Linked DNA regions of Oryzias latipes. The protein of the gene in region 2 purifies or fractionates together with the protein of the main gene of each other region. This does not show direct contact. Links are inferred from orthologs where the notes say so. Each region holds a gene or a part of one and is shown on either strand. Other genes may lie near its edges.

Region 1 (5,998 bases), about 6.7 Mb from region 2:
TATATTTTACTGCAAAGAAGGGGGAAAAAAGACCCCCAGTTAAGAACCAAACCTTTTCGTAGGAGTTTGTTGGCTGCTGGTTTGCTGTTGAGGCCTTTTTGTTTCGGGACCGCTGGAGGTGTGCATTGAGGAAGGCTGGACTTTGGAGGCGACGTCCCACCAGAGGGAAAAGGAGCGCATTGTGAAGGAGAATCACTTGTGAAGTTCACATTGTGGTCATTTAGAACCTTCTGCGCTGCTTCGCCTGAGACCACACCTGGATTAAAATGAGCGTTAACGTAGATGCAATAACCACCAAACCTTCACAGGCACTGATCAGCAGGCGTTAGGGTTTTGTTGGTTGCATTGAGTACCTGTGATGATGGGAATAGGGTCAGACTTGGGTGAGGGGTCATGTTCTCCAGGAGAAGGAGGAGGTGAAAGCCTCGAGGAGGTGACAGAAGAATTTAAGGAGCCTGTGGCGTTGAAGAAATGCGTCCCTGCAGGACTGTGGACAGTCAGAGTGACTGGAATCTGGATGGAGGTGAATCCACTGGTGGATCCTCCAGGATGGGAGCACAGCCTCAACTCTGCACCTTTAAGACAGAAGAAGTCATGACTGACTAAACACATGCACCCCCCCCCCCCCCATGATATTAAATATAATACTTAGAATAGTTATTTTTAATATAAAGGACAGCTTGAAAGTTTAATTCTTACAAACAGAGACGACTGTAATTGATGGATAAATGTTTAATCCCAATTATTTTGGTCACAATTATTTTCTTGTATCTCGGTAAACACATTCTTAATGTAAAGGAAAGGATGCTAAATGACTAAGTAAACTAACTAGTTTTGCACGATAATATACACTACAAAAATGCTTCAAGTTGTCAATGCTTCACAGTTGAATTTTGGAAAAACAAATACTTGCTTATTTAAAAAACACAGACTGACCTCCAGATGGCGTGTTGACAGGTCTGCCATTGACAGTGAAGCCAAGAGATGAACCTGCAGGCTAAAGGAATTTATGTAAGGAAGAATATGAGACTATGAGTGGGGTGATCATTAAAAAACAAAAAGACAAACAGGTTATACCATAAATGACTGTCACAAAATGAGGATTTATTTACCTTTTCTGTGCTGCTGACTTTCATGAGTTTGCAGTTAGACAGAGGCGGAATTGGAACTGGAGTTATCTCGACTTGTGAAGAGTCACTTTCCTTTTTGATCTCCATCAGATTGACAAATGTTCTCACCACTGAACGAAACACATTTAATTACAGAGCAGTAATACCTAATTAATAAACTAGAGTACTTCAAACAAAGGAACACAACAAATAGCTTTTATTGCTGATTTTATGGCAGACTATGTTAATCTACCAGTCTGTTTGCAAAGAACAACAGTTTTACAGATAAGTTAACACAACAAAATTCTATATTGTTATTGCTTGTAATTTTTTTACTGGCAATACCATTTTTCTTCAGGAAAACATGTAGATGTTTTGCAAAAACAAATGAATATAAATGAGTTTACATGACTTTTAAGCAAGCATAGAACTGCTTTTTTTTAGTGCAAACTTATTTTTAGAAAACAATCTCCTTTCTTGTTCAGCTAAAATGTTTAAAAAAATCAGTCCAACCTTCATGCAGTTGTGGCTTCTGTTTTGCAACCACCGTCTCTGGTGTGTCATCCAACGCGTCAAACTTCTGCTCATCACAGTCCATCATCTTTACCTGAAAACAAAGTCCTTCGGTTAAAAAAAAAAAAAAAAAAAAAATCACACTTGCAACATTTTGGTAAAAACAGAAACATTGAACACCTAAAAATAAGCTGTTTTAATATTACAAAAAAATTAACTCAAGGAGGGAATCCAGTAAAGTTACTTTACTTTCATGTAACTTCAATTCAATTCAATTTTATTTGTATAGCCCAAAATCACAACAACAGTCGTCTCGATGGGCTTCGAAGTAAAACATGAACTCAAAAGGATCACGAATACAAAGAGTTCAATAGGAAAATACTAAAATGAACTAACAAGCTGACTAAGCTATTTCATGCCCAAAATATACAATAAAACTGTCTGAGGTTTGAACCCCCCCTACTCATCAACCCATCCAGCATCAACAGACACAAAAAACTATTTAAAAGAAACCGTCCAATGCTGATGTGTATGATCTCTTGATGTTTTATTAATTGATTTGTTTATTAATTAGAAACATATGATTGCAACTAATAGTTGTAAGTATTGACTAATCTACAAATAATTGCTTTTTAGTTAGTTTTAAAAGCAATTATTTCCATTTTTATCTATAGTTTAAATGTAGCAGCAGAAACAATTTTACTTTAGATTTTTTAATTGCTTTTCTGTTATATATAGAGGAAAGCTCTTCAAGTCCCACTCCGATCATCTTTTGATCTATTTTCAGAGCATTCCCAGTGTTCTTTTAATTATGGTTATCCTGTTTTTAGACAAACTCAAAAAAACTGTGTTGTTTGCTAGGACATCGTTTTTCTGCAGAGCGGCAGGAGTTCAACAAAAATCCGCCTTTGAGTGGTGAGAAGGACTGTTGGCACGCAAGTAAACCTGTTCTCATTTCCCACAATGCCTTTGTTTACGAGCTGTACCGCTAGCTCACAGCCCTTCGCACGCCCAACCTTACATCACCATCATAAAAACAGCAAAATCAGAGCTATCCAGCCGTACAGTTTAGATTCAGATTCCAGCTCAGACGAGGACAACAAAGACGTTCATGGATCTATTTGTCTACAAGTTGATGCATTGGAATAGAGCGGAGCAGGGAGCTGGTGGCCTGCCAATTGTACTTTATAGGTAGAAATGGCATTTTTTTGGTCTGATCCTGATTTACTATTATTTGAATAAAGAAATACTCAGGAAACACATACCAAAATACAATTTTCATTGGAGAAGGTCTTTAAGAGAGTAAGGACCATGGCCCTGACAGTTACTGACTACTTTTTCCATACACTGGAAGAACTACGCAGTTATAACTGCATTTAAAAGCTCAGAATATATTTGAAGTCCCACTCTGTTCACCTTTTGATCTACAGTGTTGTAAAATTGTGTTTTTTTTTAATCATGTTTTCGTGGCTTTTGTTATGATGGAGTACATATGCAAAGAAATTAGGGTTAAAATGGCATTTCTGAGTATTTCTTTTTTCAAACTGTTGAATTCGGAGCAGACATCAAAATGCTGCTTGATAAAGCTTGTAGCGGTAACATAGGTGCTACAATCGGCTATCCACAAGCGTCTGCTTGATGACACAGAGATCTAAGTACGTCTTGGTTTTTCCTGTCTAAGCTGGAAAAACTGTATTGGCTGGATAGCTCCGATAATGTTGAGGTTGTAAGGGACTGTAAGATAGCAGGAGAGTGCGTTAATATGTGGATTATGGGAAGCGATGGTGGGCTTACTCTGCTAACCAGAGCTACGCCCAAAACTCAGAGCCAAATTTCTAATGAATAACTTCCGCTCTGAGAATGAGAATCTAGGTTTATCGATTCTGGCTAGAACCTGCATTATGATGATGAAACCAATAATCAATAAATAAACGTATAAACTGGGAACCCTTTTACAATAGATCAAAAGATGATTGGAGTGTGACTTTTAAATGTTCTGAAATGATCTCAAAAATGTATTTAAATGTCAAAATGAAGACAGAAATTTTACATTTGACTATCCTTTACGCCACAACAATTTGACAATGACACCAGTTGACAAAAGTTATACAAGTTGCTTTAAAAACAATACTAAAATTGGCCAATATCTTTTCTTAAAAAATGTTCAAAATATGCTTTAAGTTTTGGTTGAGCAAGCAGAAAAGGGGTTAACTATAATTGACAAAGATTTCACACCTTATCGTCGTGCTAGCTTACAATTACGAATTCTCTACGATTTATTGTTTAACGTGGTTGTAGCTAAAAGTTTTCCCTTTTTGGTAGCAAAGACTAATTAACACTATTAAAACTTCATACTAAGTTGTATTCATATCAATACTCATAACTAAAAACAATAAATCATGTACACTTCAAATGTATTAGCCCTGTTGGTAAGCAAGCTAAGCTAATGTGCTATTTAGATGAGAGATTTCATGAAATTACAAAGCTATGTTCATCCAAATTACTGAATGTGATTCAACGTGAAATTGTTTTTAATAACTTTTTCTTCTCGTAATCTTACATACAGACAGTTAAATGTGTCATTTACTAAATAGAAACTAGCTTTACCAGACTTAAACCCCCACTCACTCAGCAGCTTTAGCTAACAATGCTAAATTAGCCGAAAAGCTAACTGTGGGGTTGCATTTACTTTGTAAGAAATGCAGTCCAAACAAGAGTGTAACGTGTCCACTTACCTCACATGGACTTTTCAAATGGCAAATACATAACTATTTCGTTAAAATTGTTACTTTAAAATTTGCGGTTTATAAAATAATAAATGCAGCGCCCGTTGGTCTCCGGGACATGTCTCATAGCATTTGAAACCATAAACACGCTCGACTCTGCCTTCGTTGTGCGGCGAGAACTCCGCCGTGTATCCTTCCGCTTTCTCAATGGATCTTGCCGTCTCTATTAGTGGTACTACATTCACGCAAGGCGGAGTGATATTTACTCGTGTAGAAACATCGTGTAAGATTTTTTGCGAAACGTTATAAAGTGCGAAAAGTATCACTTCGCAACCCACTTAAAATAAGCGGAGGGCTATCTTTGTCAAAGTAGTTCTACTCGGAGTCCATTGCACTCTGTTGCCACAGAATGGCATGGTGTTAGCATGCTAATCGTTAGCTTCCGTGAACTCTGACATAAATACAAAATAATACGCTTGTTCTATTACTTTCTTAACTAATTCTAAAGCATACACTAAGAACTTTGTAATTTTTTAGCATAACAGTCGTAAGGGTATACATCATAAATTGTTCTTATCGTAAAACAGGTCGTTTTTTTTAGCTAGGACCTGGCTGTGCACGATGCTAATGTGATCATAATATACTGACATTTATAGATATCTATTCCTCCGTTTTAAATAGTAGTATTTAAATTTGAGAGACGTATATGTTTATTTAGCAAGCAAAATCTATAAATATACAGGTTTATTTAGGTTTCTTCAGCAGACAATGGTGATCAGTCAAACTAACCATAAATACAAGAATGTGACATTGTTGTGGTTTTAACATTTGTGCTTTAAGTAAAAACATTTTTTGATTATACATTTAGTGTACTTATTAAGAGTTTTTGTCGTGTTGTTGCAGAAACCCACACCTTAAGTCCTATCAGTTTAGGAAAAATAATAGTTATTAAACTAATAACACATGCAAATGTTAATATTTCATTGTTAACATTTTTAGGCTACGTTTAAAATAGTATTTTGAAGAAATCTATTTCATGTTTCTATCTTGTTGTACTTTATTTTGGAATCTGGACAGTATTAGCATCATGCTAACAATTGTGAGCCTTTTGTTTTCAACTAATATTTAGTCAGTGGTAATGTCTATTGGCAAAATATATGCTAGATTTAGTCATTTTTACTAGAAAGAAAAAAATCAATGTGTGTTACTTATGGATCAAACAACAGATGACTTTTTACTTTAATTTGCTATTTACGTTTTTGGCCTTCATTTATAGTTGATACTATATGAATTGATTTTTTTGGTAGGATTTAAGCCAATGTATGTCCATATTATAACATCTATTGCTTTAAAACCTGCCTTTAATTAGATATTTACAAAGTAGGCTCACTTTGTTGGCAAAAGGAAGCTGAGAGACAGGATCAGAGGAGGATAAAGGATTATGGAAAAGCTAAGGTTTATGGATGTAACTTAGTAAAGACCATAAAGGCAGTTAGTGTAAGTGAAAAACATCTGAAAACATCAGCAATCCATTGAAAGAAAACAAGAAAATTTAATTGTATGTTTATTTAATTGAAAACCTTAAAGCTTTAAATGATTTAAATGTTGCCAAAATTCCAAGTTTTAATGTAAAAAAAAAAACCCGCACAT
Region 2 (7,539 bases):
TCTTCTCTGAGGGCTGCGTGTGGAAAACAAATCTGTTCTTTAAACCAACTGGTCCGGCTCAGGGCTGTAGTTCAGAGTTTAGCTCGTGTGCACAGAAGTTATGTAAGTAAGCTGCTCAGTGGGACCCTTCCGTGCTTTGGGGGAGGCCAATGCAAGTAGACATATGGATATAACATTAAAACAAACCCACACGCCATGCGCTAGATTAAAAACAAACAAAAAAGACTTTTTCTTGATTGCTCATCCGACCCAGGTGTGCGCAAAATCCGGGCGCTTAAGCGTTGCGTCATTGCGAACCTGTTTCTTAGTGGTTCGATTAAAAGTCCAAATTAAAACGGATCCTAAGGGTATTAGACCTCAGTGTTTCACAACAAATGACAAAAAACATCACATTATTTTAAATAATAAAAAGGTTTTCCATAGATAAAAGGAAGCTTTGGAACACAAAGATGCAACTTCACGAGAAAAATAATTTGTTAACCTATTAACAATCTGGACCACTACATGTTTTGTTTATTGCTTTTTGTTAAAGGATACATAGCACTGAACATGATGTAAAAAACTAATTGTTCCCTTAAATTACTCACTTGTGGTCACAAATTTAGCATTGTTAATTCCAACTACTAATTTGTGCACAAAAAATACTAAAATGTGGACACAAATTATGAATGTGAAAGAACAATTTTTTTTCAAATATGTCCAGGGCTTTATAAAAAAAACCTTAATATGCTAAATTTACCAAGAATGTTTCCATTTACGTGTTCTCCTGGATGAGCTTCTTGGTTGACGGTCACCTTTTACAGTAAGATAGCTGAAGAATTTAAATAAAAAGTTAGACTACACATGTAATAAACTTTGTTTCATACACCAAAGGGTCATTGGTGAGATTTTGAAATAGAAAAACATTTATTGAACTAAAGAGTAAAAGAGATTTCTATCAATTCCCTTTTCCAAACAAATCAAATCTGAAAATGTAAGGGCGAAAGCATAGGATTTTCCAGGATTTCGTTAATTCACTCATTACAAATAAAGGGTCACCAACACTGCTTAGTGCTTATATATGGTTTGCTCAAATGTTTTGACAGAAAAAGAAAGGAATATCCAAAGTTCATGTCTCATGCTCGACACACTAATCACTATAGAGTGATCACTGCATCCAGAGCTTTTATGAGCATCTTCACTTATTAAAACTACCTGTTAGTTACGGGGAAGACAACCTTAGCAGAAATGCCACAATACAAGAAATTGAACAAAAAAAAAAACAATGGTTAAAGGATAAAAAGAAGAAGTTGGCTGCATAAAACTTTTATTACAAATTGAAACAACATTTACAGACTGTTGACAAAATGTTTTTGGGGAAAAAAGCAGGCAAACAGGAAGAATGAGTGCAGGCACTAAAACTGTTAACAATTAGAGTTGTTATGACATGTATGACACTTAGTGGTCCTTAATATGAGATACTTTGGAAGACTTCAATGATCATACATTGCAAAACCTTTGACAGCTCAAAAAGCTTTGAACCAGTATATACAACCTTAAAGCTCATTGAAAACCACACAAGCGTAAAAAAAAAAAAAATCTATGTAATTCATGTAACTAGAAGGATAAGGCAGGAAACAGGAGCACAGAACGTCCTGAGAAAGGAGCAGAGGTAATGCAAAGAACAGCACAAACTACAACAGTTACTGAGCTTCATCTTCTGGACAGGAATGCCACGTCAGTCGCTCCTCATAGAAGGATATGACTACCTGAGGGCAGCGAGTGTTGGCTTCACGGGCCGGGACCAAATCCGCTTCGTCGGAGTCTTTCCTGTAAAAAATTAAACAGCGTTACACAAATGGAAAAAAAAAACATTCAACATAAAACTACTTTAAAAAAATTAGTCATATGATATTCCACAATAAATAACATCTTTCCACAATGTTTCTTTTGTGAACCAACCAATGAAGTTAAGAGAAAATGTGAACAACGTTCAAACTAGAAGTTTTCATTCTGGGCCAAATTGTACTGCTCACCTAAAACAAGTTTTACATTAACCCCTCCCTATGCTGTGGTTTATCTATCGCTGCTTCAAATTTTTATAAATATCTTTGCATGTTTATTTTGATTGCCCTCTGGATCCTGATTGGTTGATGACCATGTCATCCATCTCCTCCCTCCCATGTCTCCTGTACAAATGCGTTTAGCTTGCCCATTACAAACATCTTCCATTGTGACCAGATTTTTGTCTGCTTTCTAAAATATTGGACTTATTGTCTTATTTGAGAGTTTAAACAAGAGAGAAAAGTGTGAAAATGTTTGTTTGTCTGAGAAAAGTGTATAAAGTGTGTAGTGAGGAGTTTTACAATGATAATCCTATGAACCAGATTTTAAAGTGGGATGTTTATCTTATAATTTTTTTCATTTCATAAACATCTTTTAAAGGTTCTGTCTAGTAGACAGTCAGAGACATTCTATAAAAATGTACCATTTCATCAGAAACATTAACTCCCCGCTACTGTCAGTTGCTCCAATAATTCGCTCTGGCTCCAGGTTTCTGGCAAAGCCACGTGGTTTCTCAGCCTAAAGTGGAAGCACATGAACATTCAGAAAACAGTTTTAAAATGGAAGAATGACTAATTAGAACTGAGCTCAAAGTACTGCAATGACATTGTGACATACCATGTCTTTCTTCTTGGGCTCTGTCTCTGGCTCATCTGTGGAGGCTTTCCTTTTAACAGCAGCAGGCTTCTCCTTAATATTCTTTTGTGATTCCAAAAATGCAGAAATCAGCTCAGGACAGTCCAGGTTCTCCTCCGGCTCCCAGGTGTTGTCAGCACTAAATAGTTAAGAGGGCTGTGATCAATTGCATATAAATCATGACTTTTAAAAAAAATGTAAAGCTAACAGGATGCGGAGAACACTAGCAGCTTCATGCAAAAATGACTTTACTACATGTTCAGAACAATCTGAAACCAATCAGATCCAAATGATCTGGGTTATCAAGTGATCAGGGCAATCTGGTGTTCTTTAAAAAATAACAAGACTGGTCAAGTTATGAGAAAATTGTCTAAAGCATATAATCTGGTGTCTTCTTGCATGTAAATGAACTATTTGTAATTTTGGTTTACGTTATATGGGTAGTTACAGCGTGAGTGGAAAACAAAGAAAAAGGGCAGATGCTTGCCACATTCGAGCCAATTGTCTTGTTCTTTTCCTGAAGTATTCAGCCCATTTTGTATACCCATAAGCCAGAAGGAAAATCGAGGCCAAAAATTTGGCTAATTTTAGCTAAATGAAAGCTCAAGTTAAAGGAGGGGGAGGGGTCAAATTAAGAATCATAGTATAAATGTACAAAAACTTTAAAATTGGATCTAAGGCTCATGCTAATCTATTGTAAATGTCTGATTCCTTAACCACATAAAAATGTGGTAACAGAGTAAACAGGCCAACCCCCCTTCCCCATTCTAAAGAACTAGCTGGAGAGGCTCCAGTTAACTCACTCTGTAAATCCTTTCCACTTCAAGTAGAACTCTACTTTCCCATTGACGAGACGCTGGTCGAGTACTTTTTCCACAACAAATTCTTCTGGCTCTTCCTGCGTGTCCTGTGAGTCCTTCTTACTCTTTGTATTCTGCTTCTTGCCCATTCTGGCCTCTAAAACCAAGAGGAAGGAGAGTCAATTGCCGATGTATCACGCAACTGCCCTTTTCCACTTCACCTGTAGGACCCACATTTAGCAGAAAGGCTTGTACCGTAAATATAAAGGTGTACAGCATGTGTGTGTTTAGTTTTTCCAACTTTTTACGACGGACGCGACTCGGCCACGTTCACTCCGCAAGTTTTCCGTAAATGGTACTAGCGTCCTTTGGGTTAGCCAACATGCTAACGTAGCCAAAACAGTTTGAGGCCATGGTACCATTGTTTATATCTTTTTACTAAAAAGGAACATCAACATGCTACAAAAACGTGTTTTCTTTAGATCTTACCTTAACGCCTCAAATAATTACAACAATACAGCAATATCGACACCCAACAAAAAAACGAAAGATTGTTCGTGCTAGTGTTAAGTTAATAGCAATAGCAAAACGAGACAATCAACAGTCTAAAACTAAAAGTATACTATTCATACAACACTCGGGCTTGATAAACTTAAAAAGCTTGAGCTGTGAAGAGTCAAATACAAATTCTGTTCGGTTCATTGCATTCATTTCTATGATGAAGAAGTTAGCTTAAATTACTCCTTACGTCTTAGTTATTTAAGAAAAAAAGTTCAAAAACAAAGAGATGAGATGCAGCATTTAATACCGGTAAACGTAGCTTACATACCTTGTAAAGCCTAGAAAATGACCTCGGTGACGACTTATTCAACCACGCGGTCACTGCCTGTCTTTATGTACAGATGAAGAAAGGAGGGTGCGCGCCAAACGCAAAAGGCGAGTAGGCTACGGAAGCCCGTAAGGAAACAATTTGCTTTAGAGCACTTGTGACTCTACGGTGTCCTGTTAGTTTATTTTTACGTCATTTATTTTTTCTCAGTTTATATAACGGTTTATCTCACAATCTTTAAAATATGTTTTTTCATTTTAAATGAAAAATGAGAATACACGAGTAAAGCTTTGCAGCATGTTTAAAACATTGACACATTTCTATCGTTTTCACTAATAAAGGAACAGCTTATAGTTGTTTTTGTGTTTTAAATATTCTGTATGTCTTGAGTTTTTTTGATATTGACGCTTACAAATGACTTCTGAGCTAAAATAAACTCGTGTTACTAAAGAATACTACAAAAAATGTTTATTTTATGCAAACCAACTTACCTGCTATAGAATGATCTACAGAATTTGGGTGCATAGAATCCTAATAATAAAGCCCTAAATAAAATAACAAATACACAAAACAATATTGTGTCAGTGCAGTTGTATTGATTGAGTGTGAAAAAAATTAAGTATCAGTGTTTAAAGCTGTGAAAATTATTTACTGTCTCAATGTGATTATCAAATGTAAAGTGATTCATTTTCAGTAATCTTTACTTGATAAATATAAGGTTGTCTGTTAAATTTAGTTACACTAAAGCAATACCTTTGCTATAAGTGTGAAGGCGAAATAAAATGATCTGTGCTTCAGTCTACACTTTTGCAATCCAAATGTTTCTATTTTTTTATTTTTATTTGCAATAGTGAACAATATCTTCTACACCAAGTGAACCGAGTTAGTAAAAAATTCTCTGCTAGAAAAATTGTAATTTTGTCAAAATGTCTTCTTTACCATTTTTGACAATACCAAATAACTACAGCACTGGCCAAATGGTGTGATTTGAGTTGTACTTGGATTAATAATAATAATAAAAACTTAAAGCACTAGCAAAGTACTTAAGTTAGGAGAAAGACATTCACCCCACTTTAAAAAATGCTTAGACTTAAAGGTACACATAAAATGTGAACAATAATCTTATATTTATCAGAAAAAACAACAAGAATGCCACTTTCTTTTTTTATTCAGAGTAAACAAATCCCCCAAAAGCGCCTAAATTCTTCAAGAAAAACCATACTATCAGCAATCAACAAGCAAACAATCAAAAAACAAGAAAGACACACATTTGCGAAACTTAGAGACAGAAAAGTAAACTTTAAGCTAAACCAGGAAAAGAAAAATGTCACTTCATGCACTCCACAATTATTTCACACACTTGGCTGACTTTGTAAAGCTGTGAACCCATAGTTTTCATAGCAATCCCTTTGCATAATGACAAATATTTAAAGGGTTACATCTTGCCTTGCTGATAGATTTTTTAAGTAACTGGACAGCTTATCTGTTTGGGGTCACAGTAATAATGAATATTTTATTATACAAGTACACTTAAGTTCACCAAACCTTTCAAATTAGTCAAAAAGGGATTAGGAAAAAAAAATAAACCTGAGGTAGAATTTCATTTAAAAAAATGGAAAAGGTTTTTGAAATGTAAGTTTAAATAAATCAAGTGGAAAACTTGGGAGTATTTTTTTTATCCTGAAGTAAACAGATATGTAGCAATGTGCTCACACAGGAAATGGCAGAAACAGATAGAAATGTCACAGAAAGCACATGAAACCAAATCAACAACATTTAAACCGAGAGTTTGTGATTGTAATTTTTTCACGAAAATGTCAACTTCAGCAAACTTAAAAAAAAAAAAAAAAAGTCATTAGATCAAAGGCACACTTTTGCATACCCACAAACAACTTATTTAGCAAGAAAATAGGAAAAACCTAAAAAAGATTTGTTATTGTAACCTCTAACAATGCTCATTATCTTACAAAAGTAAATCAATTTTATGATTTGGTCAATCTTACCAGTTTTTTTCTGTCTGTCATAAAGACAAGTGAGGCAAAAACTCAAACGCTTGTTTTGTCAAATGCCAATCGTTAAATAGTAATTATCAATCTAATATAAAGTGTTCTCCAATATCCGATTGTTGAAATTTCAATTGTCTGCTCACTTAGATTAAGTTATAATAAAAAGACACCGTCCTGGACAGTCTCATCGTGTATATATTCACTTTGAGCTCTTTGACAAAACTTTAATAAATACAATCTTTTACTTCTTCCTCTTCTTCGATATGGTTAAAAAAAAAAGGCAAAACGTAAATAGAAACTAACAGAATCAACACTTGTGTGATCTCTAAGCAGTAACCATCACAAAGTCTTAGAACTTAGCAGGGACAAAGAGACCGGTACAGTTGCCACACACTAAGCTGTTCCCATAAGTGCACCATTTGTTTTGCCAAAGTCCAGTGTGAAAGCTACAACTTTCTCAATATTTACAGATATTCTTTTTAGGATTTTATCTTTATGAATGTCTATTTTTGCAGCTTTTGGATCCATATACACTAACAAAAAAGAAGGCATCCCAAAACCAGAGTCAAGCCATTCAGCATAGTAATATGCCCAGAAAAGGTAAATCCTAAGTTTCGGTGTGTAAACGATCATCACTGCTTTTTGTCTTTTTTCCTCTTGTCTGTCTTGTTGCTGGCAGATGTGGAGACAGCAGGTTGTCTGATGTGCTGGACTACAACCCTCCCATTAGCGCCACACTGCAGAGTGTATCTCTCTGGGTTCAAGGGCTGTCCTGAACGATCCCTCAGCCGCGCCAACACATCTCTGGTCAGCTGCCTTATCTGATGCCCCACGGCACCCATCGTCTTGGCTGTAAGCTGTTTATCTCTCAGGAGCCTGTCCCGCTGAGCTTGCAACATCTCCACCTCCTCCTGGAGCCCTGTGATGGCGTCTAGTTTGCGTTTGCGGCAATTTTGAGCTGCTAGTTTGTTCTTCCCACGTCTGCGGATGTCCCTCAGAAGAGTTACCTGCTCCGATGAGAAACCGTAGCTATCCAGAACCTCCATGAACTCTTCTACGGGCATATTGACGATTTGCAGAGCGGAAAATGGAATGCACATGGCGCGAGCTCGCAGCTCATCCCGGCTCAGCTCCTGTTCTTCCAAGTCTGAGCAGACATCATCGCTAAAAGGCTCCTCGATTTTATGGGGCAGCGTTATTGCTGCCTTGTTGAAGAGAGCAGCGG

Evidence for each region. Proteins that work in one complex are often made in the same cells at the same time.
Region 1: the proteins of chromobox protein homolog 3 (region 2) and pogz purify together in Homo sapiens (affinity purification with mass spectrometry; 7 studies listed by BioGRID and IntAct, with this or other methods). This does not show direct contact. The link is inferred for Oryzias latipes from reciprocal best matches to the Homo sapiens genes CBX3 and POGZ.

The regions. Positions count from the first base shown.
Region 1 is NC_019869.2:4,535,207-4,541,204, reverse strand, and holds the start of pogz (pogo transposable element with ZNF domain), read right to left. Parts: upstream 4,533-5,998; 5' UTR 4,358-4,532; intron 1,717-4,357; 5' UTR 1,711-1,716; coding exon 1,623-1,710; intron 1,241-1,622; coding exon 1,113-1,240; intron 998-1,112; coding exon 937-997; intron 576-936; coding exon 354-575; intron 257-353; coding exon 53-256; intron 1-52. UniProt on the Homo sapiens protein: Plays a role in mitotic cell cycle progression and is involved in kinetochore assembly and mitotic sister chromatid cohesion.
Region 2 is NC_019869.2:11,213,580-11,221,118, reverse strand, and holds chromobox protein homolog 3, read right to left. Parts: upstream 4,441-7,539; 5' UTR 4,309-4,440; intron 3,637-4,308; 5' UTR 3,629-3,636; coding exon 3,483-3,628; intron 2,819-3,482; coding exon 2,662-2,818; intron 2,563-2,661; coding exon 2,468-2,562; intron 1,810-2,467; coding exon 1,683-1,809; 3' UTR 1,290-1,682; downstream 1-1,289. Other genes in the region: nuclear factor erythroid 2-related factor 1-like, read right to left, coding at 6,947-7,539.